Ovis aries: one gene and its partners. The main gene of each other region encodes a partner of the protein of the gene in region 3 in a complex. Links are inferred from orthologs where the notes say so. Each region holds a gene or a part of one and is shown on either strand. Other genes may lie near its edges.

What was found. The genes of interacting proteins can lie anywhere in the genome.
Region 1: ARHGEF6 (region 3) and PAK1 share a complex: the UniProt entries of both Homo sapiens proteins name them as parts of the cytoplasmic complex. The link is inferred for Ovis aries from reciprocal best matches to the Homo sapiens genes ARHGEF6 and PAK1.
Region 2: ARHGEF6 (region 3) and DCP1A share a complex: the UniProt entries of both Homo sapiens proteins name them as parts of the cytoplasmic complex. The link is inferred for Ovis aries from reciprocal best matches to the Homo sapiens genes ARHGEF6 and DCP1A.

Annotation. Positions count from the first base shown.
Region 1 is NC_056074.1:16,258,599-16,266,691, reverse strand, and holds part of PAK1 (serine/threonine-protein kinase PAK 1), read right to left. Parts: intron 6,996-8,093; coding exon 6,799-6,995; intron 4,371-6,798; coding exon 4,233-4,370; intron 1-4,232. UniProt on the Homo sapiens protein: Protein kinase involved in intracellular signaling pathways downstream of integrins and receptor-type kinases that plays an important role in cytoskeleton dynamics, in cell adhesion, migration, proliferation, apoptosis, mitosis, and in vesicle-mediated transport processes.
Region 2 is NC_056072.1:47,780,002-47,788,094, forward strand, and holds part of DCP1A (mRNA-decapping enzyme 1A), read left to right. Parts: intron 1-3,709; coding exon 3,710-4,459; intron 4,460-6,385; coding exon 6,386-6,451; intron 6,452-8,093. UniProt on the Homo sapiens protein: Necessary for the degradation of mRNAs, both in normal mRNA turnover and in nonsense-mediated mRNA decay. Removes the 7-methyl guanine cap structure from mRNA molecules, yielding a 5'-phosphorylated mRNA fragment and 7m-GDP.
Region 3 is NC_056080.1:98,533,458-98,541,550, reverse strand, and holds part of ARHGEF6 (rho guanine nucleotide exchange factor 6), read right to left. Parts: intron 6,789-8,093; coding exon 6,663-6,788; intron 5,100-6,662; coding exon 5,079-5,099; intron 3,972-5,078; coding exon 3,878-3,971; intron 2,789-3,877; coding exon 2,699-2,788; intron 484-2,698; coding exon 384-483; intron 1-383. UniProt on the Homo sapiens protein: Acts as a RAC1 guanine nucleotide exchange factor (GEF).

The sequences.
Region 1 (8,093 bases), on a different chromosome or scaffold from region 3:
AAAAATTACAGAGCAATGAAAAGGAATAAGTAATTGATACACTGATAATAGGATGAATCCCACAGAAGACATGCTGCATGAAAGAACACATACATAAGAAGAGTTTGTACTGTATGATTTCCTTAACTGATCATGACCCAATGGTACACTCCAATTCTGCATTTCAGAAGAACTGATTTGGGAATTTGTTGTTCTATCCTTGAGTTTAGTAAGGTTAATTAACCCAGGAAGGACTTGGTCCTTTTCCAAAAAACTTTCACTGGGCTATACTGTGGGCCATACCCACAACCATTAAAGACCATTGTGGAAAAAACACCATTTGCAAATTACTTTTATGTTTTCAGTAAAAAAAACATTACGGAAAATGATCATCACAGAACTCTGAACTCACAACTAAAAATGACTTTTCTTCATTTACTAGTGAAAAGGCTTTGTGTCTTGAGGGTATAGGCTGTTTTTCCCCTTGGATAAGAAACATAGGAACTAACGTATTTTCTTTCTGTTTTCACTACCAGGACACTAAGAACCAAATTTGATGTTTAAACAAAATTATTTAACACAAATGATTAGTATGTTTGATTCTTCTGGCCATCCTAAGTCTCTTTTATTAATCATATTGTATATGTGTATACACACATTAAATTGTAAAATTTCTATATTTCTAAATATAGAAATATCTACAAATATTCTTTGCTAGAAGTGCTTCAAATTTTTTTTGAACAGAGATGGGATTCAAAGAGGTACTGAGAATAAGAAACTATTACTACAAAAGGAATAAAAGGTCTTGGCTAAATTACGAAGATATGAATTCCAACTAAAGCCCCTATGTATTTCTATCCATATATATCGTTCTCACAGGAGAAACAGATGGGAAGCTTTCATGATCTGAGATTCTGAAAGTCATTGTTTAGAATATTTACAATGTACAGTAACAAGTTAAAGAGTCAGTGTTCTCAGACTGCATGTTTATACAACTCCCCTGAGTTGAGAATGCAGCATGATCCAACACCCAATTAGGAGGCCTCAGTTTTCTTCTCTGTGAAATGAACAAATCAGACAAGATAAGCCCTAAGGTCTTTCCAGCTTAACACTTGGAACCAGGCAGTGGCCAAGAATATACACACTTGAGAGCCAAATACACACAGATTTAAATCCTGGGTCCACTACTTCTCAGTTACTTTTTAATCATGCAAAGTTATTGAACACTTGAAATCTCAGTTTCCTCACCTGTAAAAATGGGAATACAAAAATCTATAAATCACAGGTTTATTAAAAAAGAATAGGTTAAAAAATATGTAAAATCCTTAGTGCCTAGAATGTGGTAAAGATTCATCACAATGCATTTATTATTTGTCATGTATTACTATACCAGGAAAAAAACTTGAGAGGACATTAATCTTTCCGTAACTATGTTTTAATACCTAGTTAACAATATCATCTTGAGGCTTAGACTATTTGCACATTTCCCAAAGCTTGGTGTTTCCAGAAAAAACTTCATATGAAAGGAAAAGGCTCCTAACCTGCCTGTTATAAGGTTTTGTCCCAAAGGATGCTAGAAACTAATGGGTTTGGTAGAACCCAGATCTCATATCTAATATATCAATGCTCTGTAGTCAGTAACTCTGATTACAAAGAGATGCTAAATATCTACAGAAGGTAACATTTCAATGAAGGTTTAAGCAATTCCATTCAATTCAACAAACATCTTCTGAATACCTATTTTTTAATTGAAGTATAGTTGATATACAATGTTAGTTTAAAGATTAAACAACAAGTTGTTGTTGTTTAATCACTAAGCCATGTCCGATTCTTTTGCAACTCTGTAGACTGTAGCCCGCTAGGCTCCTTTGTCCATGGGATCTCCCAGGCAAGAATACTGGAGTGGCTTCCTATTTCCTTCTCCAGGGAATCTTCCCAACCCAGGGATCGAACCTGCATCTACCGCATTGGCAGGAGGATTCTTTACCATTGAGCCACTAGGGAAGCCCACTGCATAAATCACAGGTATAAAATATAGTGATTCACAATTTTTATAGGTTACGTTCCATTTATAATTATTATAAAATATTGGCTATATCTCCTGGGTTATACAATATATCCTTGCAGCTTGTTTTACATGTAATAATTTGTGTCTCTTAATACCCTACCCATATAATGTCCCTCCCCCACTTTCCCTCTCTCCACTGGTAACCACTAATTTATTCTCTATATCTGTGAATCTGTTTCTTTTTTATATATTCACTAGTTTATTTTACTTTTTAGATTCCACATATAAGTGATGTCATACAACATTTATTTTTCTGTCTGACTTATTTCACTTAGCATAATATCCTCCCAGTCCATCCATGTTGTTCCAAATGGCAAGATTTCATTCTTTTTTATGGTTGAGCAGTATTCATCCACCCCTGGAGAAGGAAATGGCAACCCACTCCAGTATTCTTGCCTGGAAAATCCCATGGACTGAGGATCCTGGTAGGCTACAGTCCAAGGGGTCGCAAAGAGTCGGACATGACTGAGCGACTTCACTTTCGGTATTCATCCACATCTTCTTCATCCATTCATCTCCTGATGGACACTGAGGTCACTTAGATATCTTGGCAATTATAAATAATGTTGCTATGAACACTGAGTTGCATGTATCTTTTCATATTAGTTTTTGTTTCTTTCATATATATACCCAGGACTGGAACCACAGGGTCATATCATAGTTCTATTTTTAGTTTATTGAGAAACCTCCATATTGTTTTCCATATTGGCTGTACCAATTTATATCCCCATCAAGTGTGTAGGAGGGTTCCCTTTTCTCCACATCCTTGTCAACATTTGTTATTTGGATTCTTTTTGATGACAGGTATTCTGACAGCTGTGAGGTGATTTCTCACTGTGGTTTTGATTTGCATTTCCCTGATACTTAGTGATACTGAGCATCTTTTCATGTGCCTGCTGACCATCTGCATTTTCTCTTTGGAAAAATGTCTATTCAGGTCTTCTGCCCACTTTTTAACTGGGTTGTTTGTAGGGTTTTTTTTTCCTGAACTGTATGAGCTGGTTATATATTTTGGATATTAATGCTTTATCAGTGATATCATTTGCAAATGTTTTCTCCCACTGAATACCTATTTTGATTCAGGTCCCAGGTAAGAGGAAACCAAGGATTAATAACATAGAAGTTATGATCTACTAACAGTAAGGAAGACAGAATTGTTCATAGTTAGCTTTAATTTGATGCAGTATGGTACATCCTGCCCTGCCCTGCCCTGTGTTAGTCCTCAAAATACAAAAGTTTTATGACTTTTGTATACTGACTGACTGTGCAAATCTACACATTTCTCATCGTCAGTAAGTTGCATGTCACACTTATTAAATCACCAGTTGGCAATGTAGTAAAATAACACTAGTAATGAGAAATTGTAACTGAAACATAAATGCTAAATATAGATAATGTGGTCAACTAAAAGCAAATTTTGAAACCATATGAAATAATCATGCTATAACTTCAGGATTAAGCTGGTGGAATATATAAGGCTTGGTAAACCCCCAACTTCAGGTTCCCCACAGCCTGTCAGGATCTCACTCCAAACAAGCAGACTATAGGGACCTTCCTGGTGATCCAATGGTTAAGACTCCAAGCTTCCACTGCAGGAGGGCACAGGTTTGATCCCTGGTCAGGGAACTAAGGTCCCTCATGCCATGTGGCATGGCCAAAAAATTGAAATAAATGAACAAACAAGCAGACTATCATTCCCACCATCTGCAAGGGTTTCCATGAAGAAACTGGGAAGACTTGAAATGTTGCACTAACTATCCTCTAAATGAATGTCTTCTGATATCCTTTCCTAAAAATCTATCTTTTGAGTTTATCCCAGTAAAATATACCTTGTATAAGATTTGCATGTCAAAAAATTTCTTCTCATCAAGACTCAAACTCTGCTAGACTAATTCAGGCAGAACATAACAAGCACCAAAGGAAGATATAGGCAAAGTTCAATAAGAGCTCAGAAAATAACTCTGTAAGATACAGCCTAGAAAAGTACAGAGTTTTAATAGGCTGAGGAAGAGCCCAAGGGAGTAACATCAGCAAAGGTCCAGGGATGAACAAGATGAGGGAAATAGGAGTGTGGGACGTGCTAGGAGAAAAGCCTAGTTCTATAACAGCCATACAAAAATGCAGCAAAAAAGCCTTCATTATGTGATTCTCTGAATTAGGTGCCTCCCTACATAGGGACAGTTACCTGCAGCAGTTCTTTAGCCGAACCTCTCTTCTCCACATCCATCTCAAGACAGCGGTTCAGAAAGTCTCGGAAGATAGCTGACAGCTTCTCTGGGTTCTGAAGCTCTGGGGTCCCATTTGTGGCAATGAGGTACAAGGCCTGGAAATACAAACAGAATTGCCCTGGGCTCTACCTGGGATTCTTTCCTGGTTCCCAGACAGGCCCCGAAGAAATATGGTCGGCTGCTTTCTGCCTTCAGAAGACAAAGAGGCAGCTTTGGTATAATGGAGAGAATATGACTTAAGAGCCAAATTTCCAGTGAATTTCTAACTTCCTCGTCTGTAAAACAGGGATGATAACAGTGCCTATCTCACATGTCTGTAAAATAAAACAAGATAACATATTGTAAGCATTTCATAAGCTTATGAAGTGTGTTACAGATCCAAGGATTTATTATTATTGATTTAAATCTAAATGGTTTACTATACATTTAGCCTAATGAGTTAAACACCTGCCCATTTATTGAAGGAAATTTATTATTCCTGGTGCCATCATCTCAGTCATCTAAAAACTGATCTCTTCTAGCAGGAAAAGAATATATAAAGGAACTAGTCTGTAAAGGAGCAATCTGTTTCACTGTTGCCATCTTGGTTCTCTAATATGAAGCCATATCCTGGGAAAGATAAAGAAAAACATCATACTAAACCTTTTAAAGCAATCTGAACTTTATTTCATAAGTGTTTACACAAACACTATCTCATTTAATGACCACAATAACTCTGGGTAATAGGCAGAGCAAGAATTATCATCCCCATTTCACAGATAAAGTCCTAAAACATAAAGAGATATGCTTGGGATTGTGCTGTTTACACAAGCTTATGTCCTCTGACTTTGATCCCAGTCTCATTTCTGTTACTACTAATCATCATCATTTTCAAGGCCACTCTAAGGTGGAGGAAGATGAGTGGCATGTGGATCCACAGGGCAATACTGGGAGGCAAGGAAAGAAACTATGGAAGGTAGTTTCAGTTTGGTACACTAAAACACTTTTCAATAATCAGGGCTATCCAAGAGGTAACTGGCTAAAACTACATGACTGTTGATTAGCGACAAAACTCTGGGAATTCTTGCACTGAGTGAGAGGTTGGAATAAATAACAAAATAAAAACAATCAGAATAACTCTCACATTTGCCCATGATCAAAATTATCAACCTACTTGTATCTGTATTCACTTACACTGCTTTCCCTCTCCTATTATAATAACAAACTGTCCAAGTTCTAATTTGATGATCTTTACTTCAGTACTTCATCCAACCCCCCGATCTACTTAACGATATCACTATCTCTCCTACAGACGTCACATCCCTCTTGTACATGACCATTTTCCTCTCTACTAGATAATTCTCATCAGCACAAAAACATGCTATGATAATATCATCTTCAAAACAAAAAACAAAAAAAGAAAACCCCCCTAGTCGCTACTTCAAGATATGGCTCCACTCACTTCTCTGTTAGCATAACTGCAAAATTCCTCTGAAAGAAAACGATGAAAAGTAACTGCTTATACATGTCATTTCTTCACTCTGGTGGATTTACTCTAATCAGGCTTTTGTTCCCATCACTCCAGTGAAACTGACTGTCAAAGTCATCAACAACCTTCACACAGGCAAATCTAATGATCATTACTTCGCATTGGCTTAAATGCAACTTAGTCACATTTGACACACTGGTCCATCCTCCTTCTCAAAACACTTGTCCTCTTGGCCTCCAGGACACATCTCTCAGTTCTCCTTCTACCAGGAAGGCTGCCCATTGATCAACTTTGCTGGTTCCTCTAATTTGTAAATATGAGAGTATCCCAGGTCTCAGTACTACCTCTTTCCCTAAGTGTGTGATCTCATTATCATCTACCTCTGATTTTTAAATAAACCAACCATATAATACCTACTAATAAATTTGTATTTCGAGTCCTGAATGCTCACTCTTGAACTCTGAACTCTTATGCCCAATTCTACTCAATACCTCCATTTAAGATGTCTAATAAACATTTTAACTTAACATGGTCAGAACCTTGTCCACTCTGCTCACTCACTTCAGGGACATTAGTCTCCTTGGTTTTCCCAAGGATGTATCAAGTATGTTCTCTAAACAAGTTCTTTATACACTTGATAACTTGAAAATTCTTACTTCAGATTAATCTCAAAACTCATTCCTTTTTTCAGTTTTCTTTTTACTTTTTCATTCCTTTTTTTTCTTCAGATGTCTCCTCAGATAACTTATAAGAGAGGAATTCATTCTCCACCTAGAATAAAACAGCATACTTCTCTGTCCTTCCTCCTCTTACTCTCTTAAGCCCCTTACTATTTCTTTCACAGCTCTTATCTTCTGTTACTATATATTAATTTGTTTTATTATTATCACAACAGTTTCTTGCCCATTAGAACTCAAATAATCACTGAATATATGAATGAATGACTGCTAATTTACATTTTCTTTAAGCATGTATACTTTATCACTGCCTAGTTTGATCCAGAAAAGAGAAATCCAACAGCCCAAACATCTTGATATGGGACTAGTAACACTCACTCTCAGAGGGTTTTCGTTGAGGTATGGGGGCTCTCCTTCAATCATTTCAATGGCCATGATGCCCAAGGACCAAATGTCAACCTTAGGCCCATAGGCTTTCCGGGTCACAACCTCTGGTGCCATCCAGTATGGTGTTCCCACCATGGTGCTGCGTTTGCTCTGCTCTGGGGTGATCTGAGCACAAAATCCAAAATCAGCTGAAAAAGAAAAGACAGAAGCGGTTCATATGCAGAGTGTTTCTTCTGTAAATACTGTGTGCCTACCCCAAGGTATCAAGCTCTGCCAGTGTCCTAACCACTACATCCCTTGTCTCTCCAAAGCTGGAGTCACATAACTGCCACCTTCATATCCAGCTCCTAGGCTGTGCCCTGGTCAGACTTTAAGGAGGCACATGAAACATCATTTCTGCCTTCCTACTCCTCCTCAAACCATAAACATTAGCATTAAAGGCTAAGCTGCCCATTTTGACATTTATTACCTACCCAAATTCTGCTTTCTTCCTGAAAACCATCCCCATATACCAGTATCTGGTTACTAGGTCCTTATTTAATTTCTCAGGCATGAAACCCTAATCATCTACAACTAGGCATGAAAAAATGTGGTCCACTAGAGAAGGGAATGGCAAACCACTTGAGTCTTCTTGCTTTGAGAACCCCATGAACAATATGAAAAGCCAAAAAGATAGGATACTGAAAGACGAACTCCCCAGGTCTGTAGGTGTCCCATATGCTACTGAAGATCAGTGGAGAAACAATTCCAGAAAGAATGAAAAGACGGAGCCAAAGCAAAAACAACACCCACCTGTGGATGTGACTAGTAATAGAAGCAAAGTCCGATGCAGTAAACAGCACTATTACATAGGAACCTGGAATGTTATGTCCATGAATTAAGGCAAATTGGAAGTGGTCAAACAGGAGATGGCAAGAGTGAACATAGGCATTTTAGTAGTCATCAAACTAAAATGGACAGGAATGGGTGAATTTAACTCAGATGACCATTTTATCTATTGTTGTGGGCAAGAATCCCATAGGAAAAATGGGGTCACCATCACAGTCAACAAAAGACTCCGAAATACAGTATTTAGGTGCAATCTCAAAAATGACAGATTGATCTCTGTTTGTTTCCAAGGCAAACCATTCAATATCACGGTAATCCAAGCCTATGCCCCAACCAGTAAGGCTGAAGAAGCTGAAGTTGAATGGTTCTATGAAGACCTACAAGACCTTCTAGAACTAACACCCAAAAAAGATGTCCTTTTCATTATAGGGGACTGGAATGCAAAAGTAGGAAGTCAA
Region 2 (8,093 bases), on a different chromosome or scaffold from region 3:
GAATTTTCTATAAATGGAATCACACAATATAAAACCTTTTGGGAGTATGTTTCTTCACTCAGCATAACTCATTGAGATTCATTGAAATTGTTGCATATATTATAGTTCCCAATCACTGCTGAGTAGAATTAACATTTTTAACCATTCACCTGTTACAGGACGCATGTGTTGTTATCAGTTTGGGGCAATTGTGAATGACATTTCCATAAACATTTGTATACAGATTTTTGTACACACATTTCCTTTGTTGTTCCTTTGTCCTTTCCGTTACTAAATCGTGTTTGACTCTTTCCAACCCTATGGACTGTAGCCTGCTAGCTCCCCTGTCCATGCAGTTTCCCAGGCAAGAATACTAGAGTGGGTTTCCATTTCCTTCTCCAGGGTATCTTCCCGACCTAGGGATTGAACTTGTGTCTCCTGCATTGGAAGGCAGATTCGTTACTGCTGAGACACCAGGGAAGCCCTAAATTGCCTTTACTCTGGGTTAAATGCCCAAGAGTACAAATGTTGGGTAATTTCATAACTGCAAGTTTTAGTTTAGAAATTGCCCTACCATACTGTTTTCCAAGAGGCTATACCATTTTACATTCCTAAGCAATGTATGTATGTTTCTAGGGATGCAGGGGGTAAATTATTTAAACCAGATTTTGTATACTACATTTCTTTGCTCCGTTTTTACTGTATTTGAATTTAAGATCCTGAAGGTCAAACGTATATTAAAAGAGAAAGTGTTATATAAAATTTAATTTTTAAAGAATATGTGTTAAGACAGGGAGCAAGTGGAGGAGCAGATTCCTTCTAGTTTGGCTTATCAGCCATGAATGTCCAGTGGGCTAGTCACTTTCCCTTTCATTTCTGAATCATGGGATTAAGGATTCTGGCAGTACCTGACTCACAGATTTACTGTGAAACCCAAATGAAAAAATGAACCCAAAAAGACTCCATTTTATAGGCCAAAGTGACAGCATTTTGTAAAATACTGAGAACTGGATATTGTTGAGCCACATGATTGTCTAAAATTAGCTCAGATCCATAACCAGCCCTGTATGCAGAATAGTACATTGGTTTAGTAATACTGCCATCTAGTGCTGAGGAGCAAATAATGCTGTCAAGCCTTAATATTAATAGTATTAAATTTTATTTCAGTTTCATTATTCACTTACTAAAATTTCCTTGGGACAGTTTCCCTAGTTTGTTTTCTTTTGTTTTTTTGTTCCTGTGGTTAAGAATAATCACACCTTCTAGTGTGCCCAGGGCACTAATGAGTCGGAAATCTGACATGGACACAGTAAATTCAAACAGAAATATGAAATTCTGTAAACAGCAAGAGCTGTGGGGTGAGAGAAGAACAATGGAAAACCTGATATAGTTTCTTAAAAAAAATTTTTTTTCAGTCCCATACATACTGTCACTCACTGAATTCCATTTCACAAGGGAATGGTCAGATTAAAATTTGATTTAAGTGAGGCATTGCTGAACTCAGAATCCAGACTGTAAGTATATTCAGACATGAGCAAAGAATAAAATTTCACCTTTTCTGTGGATGATGGAAGATGAATCCGTGAATAAATAAGCCAACAGCTAAAGGAATGCAGCCAGTTTTTCTTGTCAGAGGCAGAGGAGAATGGAACGGGTCCTGTCCAAACCAGCTCAGAGACAATAAAGCTTTGGGGAGTTTGTGTAAAGACACATGCTCTGCCCCCTCAGCCTCTAGTGACTAATTCAGCCAGTTACATATTTCCAAAAATTGGTACAGTCTGACCAGCCACCAGCTCTTAGTTATTCAGGTCTTACTTGCACCTCTCTTTTCCGAAGGATCATATTACCTTCAGATGATTAGATAACCTGTCATCTGCACGGTGGACATAACGGTGCTGTGGCGTAATGGTTAAGAATATGGATTGTCTTGTTAGAACTAGGTTGGCATCTGGTTCTGCTGTACTTGGGCATCATCCATAAATGGCAGTAATAATAGTACTGCCCTCACCGATTAATAGAGTAATGCATGCAGAGTGCAGTACAGGGCCTCCTGTACAGTGAGCGTTCTGTCTGTGATAATCCTTACTGCCTTGTAACCTCATTTCTTCTGCCTTGCGTGAGGTACCTCTGAAACCTAATGCTTTACCACACACCCTATTCCATAAAGTCTAATAATCTGTCTCTGGCCTGGCAGATGTTGCAGGGAGGCAGTGTGGAGAAATTGGAAACTGGCTGCTGCTTTTGCACACTACCAGCTGACTTCATTTTTTAATATGAAGTAGATTTTAAATGAGCAGACATACCTGTTCTTAAGTTCAAGTATAGAAACATTTCACATGTCAGTGTGGATAGTTTCAGTTTTTTAAGAGTTCGTTTTTGTTCCACTAGATAGATAAAAATTGCTACCTGGATCATTTTCGAAGCCTAAGGTGTATTTCATGGTGAGGTTTCTCCATGTCTGGTTTTTGATTGTGCCTTTTCTTATAACATGGTGTTCTTTACCGGAAAAGACTTCTAAGTTTCTGCAAGATCATTCCAATATGATCTGTGTTTTCTAAAGTAGGTATATCTAAATGTTGGTGTGTGTGTGTGGGTATACACATACATATGTATATGTGAAAGAATATGGTGGTTAAGAGCTACGTAATTGGGATTTCCCTGAGGGTCCAGTGGTTAGGAACGACTCTGCACTTACACTGCAGAGAATACTGGTTCCATCCGTGATTGGGAAACTAAGATCCTGCAAGCCATACAGTGCAGCCAAAAAATAAAATAAATGAAAGGAGTCCTTTGGGCCCAGGTTGGGGCAGGGCCTGGCACCCTCTGCATACCCAGCAAATAAAGGTTAAATGAATTCAGCAATACTGCTTGAAGGGAGGGTGCAAGAAAGCTCACAAGTGGGAAGTATGAACATATCTCCTCTGAATCATTGGAGTGGTATCAGTAAACCAGATCACTAAAATATAAGTAAGTTTAACGCTTTCAGGCTTAAATGCTTTCCTTTTCCTTCAGCGTCTGTGATTTGGGAATTGGAAGGTTGCTATTTAAAAAATGGTTAAATTGGGAGGGGCAATATAGGGCAGGGAATTAAATGGTACAAACTTATTATGTATAAAATAAATAGGATACAACAATAAATTGTACAGCACAGGGAATATAGCCAATATTTTATAGTAACTAAATGAAGTACAGTCTATAAAAATATTGAATCACTATGTTGTATACCTGAAACTAATATAATGTTATATCACCTATACTTTAATTTTTTTTTAATAGTTAAATTTATTTTCTGGTATTTGAGGCCTAGTCCTTAAGGTACAATGCCTGCCTTTTAATAAAAAAAAATATGAACATAGAGGTAGGATTGCTTGATCATCATTTGGTCCTCATATCCTCTTGAATGTAATTTCCCTACCATGTGTGACTGACATGGGGCAAATTAACTTTGAGCAAAGTAATTGCCCCTTTACCTTACAGCTGTTTGCTAAGCAAAAAAGGTGAATTTTAAACTATTACCTGAGTTCCTAAAATTTGATTTTTATTACAAATGTAGGTGTATCACCACCTTGGGGATACCAGGTGCATTCTTGGCCTTAATCCTGAGGACATCTTCAGCTTGTTCCATTTCCTATCCTTGCTTCTGCAAACTGATTTGGTTGATGGAAAAGAAATTTAGTTATGTTGGTTTGCAAGAGTTTTCTCTCATTGGGTGATTTGATTTGTTTTTCAGTCTGCTCCATCTGGACACAAACATCTGACGGTGGAAGAATTATTTGGAACCTCTTTGTCAAAGGAACAGCCAACAGTTGTGGGTCTGGATTCAGAAGAAGTGGAGAAACTGCCAGGAGATGCCTCCCAGAAAGAGCCCAACTCATTCCTACCATTTTCGTTTGAGCCTGGAGGGGCCCCCCAGTCGGAAAACCTGGGTGTCCATCCTGCTGCCCACCCCTCAGTCCAGCCCGAAGTCACCACCCCGGTGCTAATCACTCCTGCTTCCATCACTCAGTCCAGTGAAAAGCAGGCCCCCAGCTATGCCATCCCATTGCACTCTGTGCTAAGTCCTAGTCTACCAGCAGAAGCTTCTACTGGACAGGCTCCCCCCAGCCTACCCCGAAAAACCACCATGATGCAAACAGTGAAGACTACACCTAGGCAGAGGTCTCCACTCCTGAGTCAGCCTGTCCCCGAGCTGAGCCACGCCAGCCTGACTGCCAGCCAGAGCCCATTCAGGGCCCCGCTGAGCGTGACAAACACAACCAGTCCATCTCTCCCAAGTGTTGATCTTCTCCAGAAACTCAGGTTGACCCCGCAGCATGACCAAATACAGACACAGTCACTTGGGAAAGGTGCAGCAGCACCCAGCTTTTCTCCAGCAGCCGGCCAGCTGGCCACCCCTGAGAGCTTCATAGAGCCTTCCCCTAAAGCAACAGCAGCAAGAGCCTCAGCCTCCCTGAGCAACATGGTGCTTGCTCCCCTTCAGGTACTGGCAGGAGATTGGGTGGCTGTAACCTAGTGGGATGAAACTGGATTTTGATTGAGAGGAGACAGAGTTGTTTAAAGAGACAACCGTTGAGTGTGTAAGGGGCTAGAAGAAAGGAGAGGTGAGAAGCCCTGCAGTGATCAACCAAACCATCGGTAACTGGTGGTGTAACTCAGTTCCACTTCCCAAAATAATTTCAGCTGATAAAAGCTGAGAAATTGTATTTTCCTTCCTGGGTGTGCATTTTAGCGTTTTTTTGTTTGTTTATTTTTGCCTGACACGTCTAGGAGTCCTTATTTGACTCAAGACCATGGATCCAGATTATCCCAAGCTTTGTTCCATCCCCTGCTCCCTCAGTACTCTGACTGAGTGCCTGCCTTGTGCCAGGTGCATTAGGGGTGCCATAAGAGCGTCCCACATCTGGAGGTCTGAGGTCAAAGAAAGCTTCCTCGGGAAACTGGCCATCAGCTGAGATCTGAAGACTCAGTAGAAATTAGCCAGACCTAGAGGTAGGAAGTGTGTGTGAAGGCAAGGAAAGTAGCAGGTGCAGAAGCCTAGACACGAGAGGGCATTTGCTGAGCTGTGGTGTGACTGGATCTATGTGTAAAGAAACATGGGGGAGCAGGTATTGGTGATGAGTAAAATTTTGTAAATAGTATCAAGGAGTTAGAGGTTTGTTCTGAGGACCCTGGAGAGTCTTTTAAGTGTATGAGCCAAGGGTGGCACGCTGGGAAAGGGGATGACAGAAGGACGACAACCCATCAGAACGGAGGTCGGGGCAGTCACCCAGGCTTGAGCGGGTGGGGGCCTGTACTGGGCAGTGTGGACATGTGGATTTATTAAGAAGGAGGATGAGCGGGACTTGGTGGGGTTTGGATATCGGGGTGAAGAAGAGGTTTGTCCCTCAGTAACTTAAAACGTTGGTGAGTTTACAAATGAGGAAATCAGGTCACAGTTGAAGTGACTTGTGCAAGATCACAGAACTGAAAGGGGGTAGAGCCTTTCAAGGTTTTAGTCTCATGCCCTTTAATCATTACAATCCCCAGCTCTTGAACATTTTACCAAATAATATTAATACTGGCTCTTCTGTATAATATTATCTCTTAGTTAATGGAATGCTTTGTTCCATTCCGTTAAAATTCTGTACAGAAAAAGAAACCTGGTGTCCTGGTTACATGATTAAATTGTCATATTTGCCGTTTCTGTCTGCAGTATAAGGAGCAGCGAGAATGTTCTGTTTGATAAAACATCCCTGAAATGTGTCTGCTGCCACTATTCCTGTTGTTCTAGAAATACAGCCTGCAGTCCTGAATACCGCCCCTCTAGATTTGGCCTCTGGGACAGCACCCTGCTCTCCAGCATGCCTCTGGCAGAGGAAGCTTACAAACATGTTCTTTCTCGTTTATGTGCCATATCGAATTTCAGGACCTGGGACCGCACTGAGTCCTAATGTATTTGCTCTGCTACAGGAGCTTCTGTGTCTCCCAGGGAATAGGTATAGCATTTATCTGGAAGTGTGTGGCTCTGTGTGAGACTGTTTAGTGCCACCTGTCAGAGTGTGAACCACCCTATCAGGAGGCTTCATGCTATCAGGATCTTGCGTCTCTACAGTCTCAACAGCAAAATATGCTTGGTCTGTCCCCACTCTTATAAGAGACCCAGGTTTCAGCTTTTTCTGTAGAGACGTTTTCAAGGCTTTGCACACCCCTTTTCTCCAGTGGAACTGAAGAGGGTTGGGGGCTGTCCTGAAGCTCCTATCCTGCATTGTGACAAATTCTGGTCAGCCACTTCCCTCAGGAATCTAGGAACCAAGTCATGTTTGAACTCCTCCTTACAGCTGCTAACCTAGATTTTTACCCCAGTAACTAAGAAATCTTTAATGAAAAGTTGCTACATCTGTTCATCTTTTCTGTTTAAACGTTGCAGTCTATGCAGCAAAACCAGGATCCTGAAGTTTTTGCCCAGCCTAAGGTGTTATCCAGTGCCATCCCGGTAAGGATCCCCTTTTTCTAAAGAGCATAGTATGTCTTAAGTTCTTCTGCTGAGTGTAAAGTGAAACATTTCAGCTTTCAAACTTAGGCCCCTCTTACATGTCCCCTCCAACTCCCGCAGGCAGAGCTCATTGCTGTGGCCTCTGCAGTCCTCAAGTCATCCGTCCTCAGTGATGTCTTCCTTGAATGTGTGTATGGGAGGGCAAGGTCGGCCACGGCAGGGGTGCTCACTCACTCCCTCTGTGTTGTGAACAGGCGACTGCTGAGAGCAAGTCAGCCCCATCCCTATGGATAGGAGACAGTCTTTGCCCTGGAAGAACTATGGTGTCCCAGTAAACAAGGCAGTGTCACCACCCTGCTCGATGGCTTCCCATTGCCCTGTTGACAGAACCTCCCAGGCCTGCGTGCTCTGTGCCTTGCTTCTTCTCCCCTGCCTCATTTTTTACAACTTGTCCTCATCCTCCATTCCCTACCAGCTTTGACAGGCACACTCATCTTTTTCAGTTCCTAAACTTTTAGGTTCCTTTTGCCTTTGAGCCTTAACACCTCTCCTGAAGCCTAAGAGTTTAAACAAAAGCCACCTTCTGACTGGTCTTAGCAGGTCTTCTTTGTAGCTTGTCCTGCTGCGTGGTGATCGGCTTACCACTTCTTGGTGATCTCTCAGCCCGGTGTTGCACCAAAAATAACCACAGATGGCTCAGAACCCAGAAACTGCACTCTCAAAGCTACGGACAGCTTTGGTTCTTTATAAATGAGGAAGGTGACAGATAGGAGGGAAAAAATACATAGTTTTCTTGTTGAGTGTATCAAAATATGAGAATTAGTAAAAAAAAAAAAAGGGCTTCCCTCAAAGCTCAGTTGGTAAAGAATCCGCCTACAATGCGGGAGACCTGGGTTTGATCCCTGGGTTGGAAAGATCCCCTGGAGAAGCGAAAGGCTACCCACTCCAGTATTCTGGCCTGGAGAATTCCATGGACTATACAAGTCCGTGGAGTCTAAAAGAGTCGGACATGACTGAGCAACTTTCACTTTCAAAAAAAAATATTATTACTCTTTTGTGTATTCTGCTGGTTAGCCATTGTTAGCCCAGAAGTATCTCTAAATGAAAGAAGGAGGTAAATGTTAGTTTTATGTTTTTAAAATTGTGTCTTTGATGACTGTGGTGGCATAATAAATACATTGAACACAACTAAAGAAACTAATGCTTCAAATAATTTCATATAACTGATGCTTCATATAATTCTTTTTATTGAATTAAAATTTATGTATAATGCAGATTTCTTGAATTGAGTTTTAATACACATATATCTCTTGGGCAGTGAGAAGTTATGTAACACTTCCATCACCTCAGATAGTTCCTTCACACCCTCCTCCAAGCATTTCTGTGTCCCTCATGGGAAAACTTGACATATTCAACTTATCTCAGGACTGTTCTTACTGTGCCTTATCAGATTCCCTTTCTGTAGTGATGGGGCTTGGCGTCTCATAACAGCCCGGGGCCACCCTTATCATGTAAATGGGCTCCTCATCCTTCAGTGAACAAGCTTCCTAACCAGACATTGCGTGCTTAGATGCCGCTTCTGGCCCTTTATCTGAACTCTGAATAGTCAGCATCGGGCTCTGCTTTCCTGTCTCCTGCTGCT
Region 3 (8,093 bases):
GTATCTCACTGGATTGCTCTAGGAGTTTAAATGAGGTCAAGTATTGAAAGTCCAGTGCCTGAGCCCATAAATGTGAGGGGCATTGCCATGGGCTGAGGAATTGGGGCTGTGGCCTTCCCAATGCCTCCCAAACCCATCTGGAGCAGTATTCCTTTCTACCCTGAAGTCCCTTCCTGTCCGGGGAGCTGGCTGCCGCCTCTGCCTCTCCTTTCTCCTTCCCTTTGTTGTGGGAGCAGCCCTCCCTGGGCTCCCAACTGTACGATCAACCAAGAGGGCCTCATGCTCTGATGAGGAGGGTCTGCCCTTCAGTGCTAGCTTGGTCTGCCGGAACCTTCTTTCCAGCCCCTGGAAATACCAGAAAAGGTTTAGCCAGCTCTACTCACTTTTCTTCAATGATGGTCTGGCCGTTGCTTCTGGTTTCTTCAACGATGAGTTTCTCCTCCTCGGGGAGTAAGACTTGGGGAACGGAATCTTTGCGAGCACCTACAGACAAGGGTAGCCAGAGGCAGAGGAGGGGGATTACTAGAGGAGACTATTTACTGGGGGTTTGTTCCTTTCTACGATTGTTTTTGAGGGGTCTTTGTTGACGGCATCTGGCTGACTGGCACCCCAAGAGCAGTCACATTTTCTGACGAAATCTTTCTGACATGAGAAATGAAATGGCCGAATACATTGTTTCAGCCCTGGGGGCAGGGGCACATTTTGTATCCAGAAACAATGTGAAAAGGCTGCTGTGAGATTATCCTCAACCAAGGCTCCCTCCTTTCCTGTTCTGCCTCCTCCAAAGCAAAGAGCTGGCCAGCAACCATTCCTCCCTGTCCATCTCTGGGGAATGGCACACCACACTCTGTGTGTTTTGTATTTTAGTAAAAATCATGCAGAACATAGCACTACATGGGGATGCAACATGCTTAAAAAGTCTTCAGAAGCATCATTCACCCCATTTGTTCTCCACCTTACAGGGTGACGCAGAGTCAGTGGAGACTATTTTGATCAAGGGTAGAGTGTGGGTGGGGAGATGATCACAACAGCTGCAAAGATGCAGGCGTCCTGACCACTGTCTGCTCACCATCTCCCTGCTCTGGGATGGAGAAGGTGACAGAGCAGCCATGGGACCTGACCAGACAGCTCTCCTGCACCTCCAACCTCCGCCTCCCTTCTGTATCCTTCCTCTGAGAGCTAGATCCCTAAATCTTCTGTCTCCTTGAGCCACTGGCTTCCTCTCTTCTGAGCCAATTCCCTTCAACTTCTGAACACTCACTGCCTTCACTCAATCTCCATGCTTTCCTCGAAGGGGATCTGTCTCTGTCTTCTGCAGGGCCCAGGACTTCGTAGATGCTTAATAAGTGGGTAGCAGACTGGCTGACTGACCAACCAGCTGGATGCAGCAAGAAACAGTAGGGATCAGTTTTAGGGGAGCAGGACTTTTGGCTGGAGAGGGATGTATGGTGTCGGTCACCATGACACCATGATGCTAAATGGCTTACTGTGTGCCACGCACTGTGCTAGACACTTTCCACACATAAAAGGGAGGCCAGGGAGGAGGAGAGACAATGTGACTCTTGAGGCCAGAATGCCTGCCTGCACCTCTGAGCAAATTTCCTGTGTCTATCAGAGTGAAGACAGGAGGAGGCAGGAGGTGAGGTCAGATATCATAGGAGGGCTGCTGCTTCTAGTGTCTCCTTGTGTCCCTCTCTTTCCTGGTTTCTATGATAAAAACTTCTCTCACTTGCCTTTCCTGGCTCCTGGAATCTTGTTATTAGGGCTAGGCATGCCCAAAGCTGCAGCCAGGTTGCGTCTGAGAAGCACACGGTGTGACACTCTCCCCTTCAAGGTCAAATGTATCAAAGTCCACATAGAATGCTTTTCCCATGATGCCCTTAGAGACATGTCACTTTGACAGCACCCCTCAGGGTGGTTCACTGAGGAAGCCCTGCCCACGCTCAAGCATGGGCTCAGTGGCTGTCCCAGTGGAGCCTTAGGGAGACCTCATGGCTTCTGCAGAGGCAAGACCCTGACACCAGGTATCCTTAATGTCTCTAATAATGAAAGGCCAAGGACATAAGCCATGTGACATGTCTTTTATAAAAGCACAAGGAAGAATCAGAAAACATCATCTCCCTTTCAGGCTGGGGGAAATACCCTCAGCTAATAGGTCCCTGATAAATTGTAGACACTCTGAACAGGCCCTGCTAAGCAGCTACATTTCCAGATTTTCAGAGCAACTCTGAAACTTGAGCTTGGTGAAGCTCTGTTTGCTTAAATATGCAGCTGATCAAAGATAATATTTTGACTTCCTTTCCAAATCTGCCTATAAGAAGAGATTAGCATCAGTTCACAGACACAGGAACCCTTTGGGCTCTTTAATTCCTAACTAGTGTTGGTGAAGGTATTTGTGTACTTCAAAGGAAATTGACTTAAAAAAAAATTTTTTTTTTTCATTTCTATCACCTCCAACTTTTTTTTATTCTTGCATCTCTCTTTCTCTCTGGGTGAAAAGAAATAGTGGGTAAACAAACCGCTTGGTAGCTAAAACCAGCTTATCTGAAAGATGCAGCCTTGTACCCACTCCTCTGCTTCAAGTCACCTGCTTTCCACACCCTGCAGCCCATCTGGGTTGCTTTGCTCTTTTTCCAAGAGGCAGTGAGCAGTAGCGAAGAAACATCACTCATTAGAGAAAGTGGCTGGGGGGACCTACTTGAGCCATGGCCTTGTGGAAAGCTTGCGCTGGTACAGTAGGCTTCAATCACCTTCAGAATCTGAGCATCTTCTTCCAGAGCAGCCGTACCTGTCAAATGTAATGAATTGTGACTTTTCACAGAGATACACACCTCTGGACCCTTGAAATGATGCACGTGGGTGCTGGGCACTGGCTTCTCTGACCAATGGTGTTCATGCAAGGCAGGAGAGAAAAGCTGACCAGCTGTCATGGTGGAGCAAGAGTGACCGAGGAGCTCTGCGGTCAGCACCAGTGAGATCAGCACCGAGAGTGGTCTGCTCTGGAAGCCACTCGGAACACTAAATTAGAGGGTCTCCCAAGTGTCTCAGAGGCTTCAGGGCCAGCACTGGGCTTGGCGCTGGCCTCAGTTCTTAGCTGACACACCACACCCTTCCTCTCCATCAAATTTCAAGGCTCACCTTCTCTAAGGAAGCTTTCCACCAGTAACATAACACATTTTTTCCCCAACCAGCCAGGCTAGTCATTGATTCTCCCTCTCCTCTCCAAGCCCCTCCAACTCATCCTAGAAGTGACTATTAACACACTCATGTGCACAGACCTAGGAGTGGGGTGGGGGATGGGGGATACAGAAGCTAAAGTCTAGCAAAGGTTTATCCAGACTATCTCTGACTGATACGCACAGCTCTGTCACCCATTTAGGAAGCGTCACTTACTCCTTCATATGTGTCCCAGAGTGCCTTGTTCCCAGCAGCAGAGGCAAATGTGTATGTACCCACTGGCTGACCGACTTTGCAGTCTGTCTCTAAATCCAGCCCTGTTTCTATATGACAGCAGGCAGATTCCTTGACTAACTGAGAACATCACTGAACATTAAACTCCCTTCAGGTCTATTGAGTGAGTCTCAGTAAAGGCAAATATCTCAGGCATTCAGAAACTAAGAACGGAAAAAAAGTATCCACTGCAAATAGGTCCCTTTAGTATTTCTAAACCAGGTAAGGCCGAACAGTCAACACGAAAACCATACAGGTGAAAAGCAGCCGGAGACAGCTTATTCCAAAGTCTTAGAGGAGGCTAAGCCTTCACATGCGTTTTTCCCTATGGGAAAGATGACGCTGAGAACATACTGCTCAAATCTTCTGCTTTCAAAAAATTCCTCATCTATAATCAACTTTCGAAAAATAAAAAACACATACATACTTTTCCGGATGACATACTCCTCCTCTGATGGTTTTCTTTCAGTCTTTCTTTTATGAAGAAACTTCTTCATCGTTTTGGGGCTTTTACTAGACTCCTATAAGGGTAGAGATTTCTTCATGAATTAAGGTTCTCGCCCCTCCCACCCCCCGAAAAAAAAATTTAAAAAGAGCAAATGAAATTAAGTAGAATGGCTCTCTGATTTTTACAGTTTCACTTAGGAGGGAATAAAAATTTAATGCTAGACACAGTAAAAGTGGCTCCAAGAATGGCATGGGCCAACTGCAGATGCAGGAGGCAAAGTGCCTTTAGGGCACAATCTGGAGAGATGGTGATGGATGCCATTCCTAGAGAAATAACACTACTCCTAACTGGGTTTATACTTCCCACTGATACAGTTTTAAGGGAATGAAATATCAATGATAACTCTTAGTGGGGTATAGACCACTTTTCAAAGAGCTTCAAAACTAATAAATTCTCCTTAGCAACAGTCCCACAAAGAAGAATATCAACTTCCACTGGCCAGACAGGAAAATTAAGGCAGAGAGACTAAGTACATTCCCTGTATTCAGAGAGAATAGCCAAATGAAAGATTTCCTGATAAATAATGTGGGGTTACACGTAATGTACCAACAGCCAAGCAAGGCATATTTTTAATTAGCAGATAAAAGATATATGAATTGTTGGATTTGCCATATGAATAACCAGAAAGTCTAAAAAGTGCTCATTAAGTATCCGAGTAAACAGTGATCATCTTATTTCAACCTTCCATGCTATGTATATACAGGATGAATGGATAACAACTGCTACCTTAAAAATAAATACGACAAAGAATTTAATTTCTTCCTATTAGCCTCAGTGATGTCCTTAGAAAGCAGATAGACATGAAAAACTCACATGTGACAAAAATAACAGGAAAAATAGAAATAGTGAAAAAAAAAAGCCCATGGAAAACAGACATTTTACATGCTGTTTCTATTTTCCCTGTTACTTTAGTCACACGTAGTTTTTCATTTTTGTTCATATTTCCCAAGAGCCTACTTTTTTGAAGAAAGTACTTACATGTCAGAAATGTATCTTCATATTTTAGCTACCAATTGTAAAAAGGGACAAAACAAGCATAAAGGAAAGCTTCATTCATCAAAGATTACAGCACAGCATTAAATGATGTCACTGTACACCAAAGATATTGTTCTACCCTTACCTTTAAGATATAAGACATCCTCTAAAGTGAATATGTAAAGAAAGAGAAGATGAGCGTGAGAGGTCGATGGTTATAGTGACCAAATCCATTTATCAATAATTCTAAAACAACATTTGAAATGTTAGTGTTATCATAAATTACACAGGGAAAATATCATCATGTTTCCCACATTAGTTTCAGATGCAATATCGTCATGCAAAAGCCCAAGGAATACAGTTCTGTGAAGAATTACAAATGCTGAAAATTACTGAAATACACACTATATAGTAAGAACATATTAATAACTCACTTCTCCCAGCAGAAACAAAGTGATCATGCCTTAGTTTTAATGGATTAGTTCTGTGAAGGATTAAGTCAACTTTACACTTCAAAGCTCACCTTAATTTGAATTTAGTAACTGACAATTACAAAATATCCATCATTAAAAAGGGGACTTAGGTAACTATGAAGTGGCACTCCTGGTTAAGGTAATCAGAGGAGAAAATTGGATGATTGCAGGAATCACCGATCAATTTCCAAAGCCAATCTCTGGGGCTGTTTTCTGGCCAAATTCTGAATAGAGGTACATAATAAAGATTCAGCTCAAGGATTATTTTCCTATCATGTCAGGTTGAAAAGATCAAAAAATCCTCTTGTATCCAAACATTGTTCTACTTTTACTGCACTAAGCATTGGAGGCAACAAGTGAAACAATGGCATGGTGTTTTAAATCAAAACAAACTCAAAACTGAGCTAAGTCTGTGTTACGCATCAAAAACACACATTTGGTACAAAAACATATGCTGCCTTGGCACCGTAATTCTAAGACACATCTCATAACTGTCACAAACTTAAATCTTCATGCGTTAATACCTATTTAAAGAACAGTTGCTAATAAATGAGGATCTTTTCTGAAAGCTGAAATGATGAGAACCATGCTAGGGAAAAAAAAAGTTTGGATGGAAAAGGTAACACTCCACACAGTTTCAGAAGATAGTGACTGGCATTTCCTGACTGCAACTTCGAGACAAGAAAAAAAAAAAAACAACTTGAAATCCCCATTCTACCCAAATATCAAATGTCCTCTAGGCTTGTTGCTTAGAAGCCTCTTTTTTAAAGACATTCCTTTCATTAAATTCTTTCTTTCCAACTGCAGCAAATAATTCAGACTTTCATAGTTCAGACCCAGGGTTTGGTCCCAGATTTGGTTTCATAGATCAAAATGATTAAAAATGCAGAACTGGGTCTGCTTGGTTAGCAATTCCACGCTAATGAAGCAACTTTTGTTTGAGATGTGTGTACATCATGACCAATTTATAGAATTATCATATCATCATAAAGGCAAACCAGGGGCCCTTCAGGAGGAGACTGGAGAAACTCAGGCAGTGCACAGAAAGCCTGTGGGTATTTAAGATATATGTGTAGATGGACAATGGGGAAATGAAAAATTAAGAAATTAAAAAAAAAAATCACTGAGTCTGGCAACTCAAGACTGACTGACTGTATCACCTACCATCAATTCTAGCACATCCCCACAGAACTATTTTTAATAAGCTACAAAATCAGCTTGTCAGAAGCATTTTATACCATATGTAGCAAAATTACCTCTTTATAACCTAGTGCTGCTGATGGTCTAAGTGGAGGTGCAGGTCGTAGACAACTTAAGCTCCACGGTTTTATAATTTGAGGAGGCTCCAAGGGTCCTCGGGGCTGTCCAGTAGAGCTAAAAGACTGGGAAAATGGCTGATGAGATGGTAGCAATTGGCCATATGAACCCAACCCTGGGCCACACACTGAAAGAACAGCAATAGCTTGGTTGGATCTGAAAAGCCAGGCCCAGAAAGGAAAAGATGGGAAAACAAGTCTCCAGTTGGAGAACTGGCATTCTCCAGTCAAGACCTGGGCCCTCAAAGGAACAGCACAACAATGACTCCACATCCCATGAGCCTGCCCTCCCTCTGTCCTGCAATTTCATTCAAGTCAGATGTTTTCTTTTTCCCCTGAAAGGGAGGAAAGTGGAATAACAGTCAACATTTAATGAGTTCAGTTATGTGTTTGGCACTCAATTAGGTGCTTACATAGGTTATTTTCAGAAAAGCTGAAGGCAAACTTTAGCAAAGCGAAGTAACCAGTCAGCAATCGGCAAAGTCAAGATTTGAACCCAGATCTGATGCCAAAAGCCCTTTTTCTTCTCACAACACACTATGCTCAAAACTGGAATTTGGGCATCACAGGTTTGAATGTTAACAGACGACACAGCACATCTTCAGTCTCACTCAGCAAGTACAGTAAAATCTCATCAATTCAAATTCTGTGAACTCTGTGATAAAGCAGAAGGAGGCAGCTCTCAAAGTTTACCCTTAAAGGTTAATGAAGAAATGTGATAGCATAGATGGGATTGCATGGAGATGTTTCAGTACTTAAGAGGGTAAACTATCTCTTTTGCCTTAGCACATTATCAGTACAAGCACGCTGTTGTTGTTCAGTTGCTAAGTTGTGTCTGACTCTTTGCGACCCCATGGATTGAAGCACCCCAGGCTTCTCTGTCCTCCGCTATCTTCCGGAGTTTGTGCAGATTCATGTCCATTGAGTCAGTGATGCTATCTAACCGTCTCATCTTCTGTCACCCCCTTCTCCTTTTGCCTTCAATCTCTCTCAGCATCAGGGTCTTTCCCAATGAGTTGGCTCGGCGCATCAGGTGGCCAAAGGATTGGAGCCGAAGCACTGATGAGCATAACGGTTGCTAAGTAAAATACATCCTGTTTATCACTAAAACATCTTAGCAGGACTTCTGGTTAGAAAAACTCTGCTAGCAGTTCAGTTGGAGTATAACTGTCAAATAAGGCTGCATATCTCAAACTCTGTGTTAATTGGGATAGGCCTCCCCCATAACAAGAAAGCAGAATTAATGAGGTTTGACTGTACTTCTAATCCTACAAATCCAAACTATCCAAAGGCTAAGGGCATGCTCACCACTCTTGTAAGTCCTCAGTAGGCAGGATTTGACAAGAGACTCAATAATCCCTGGACAGGACA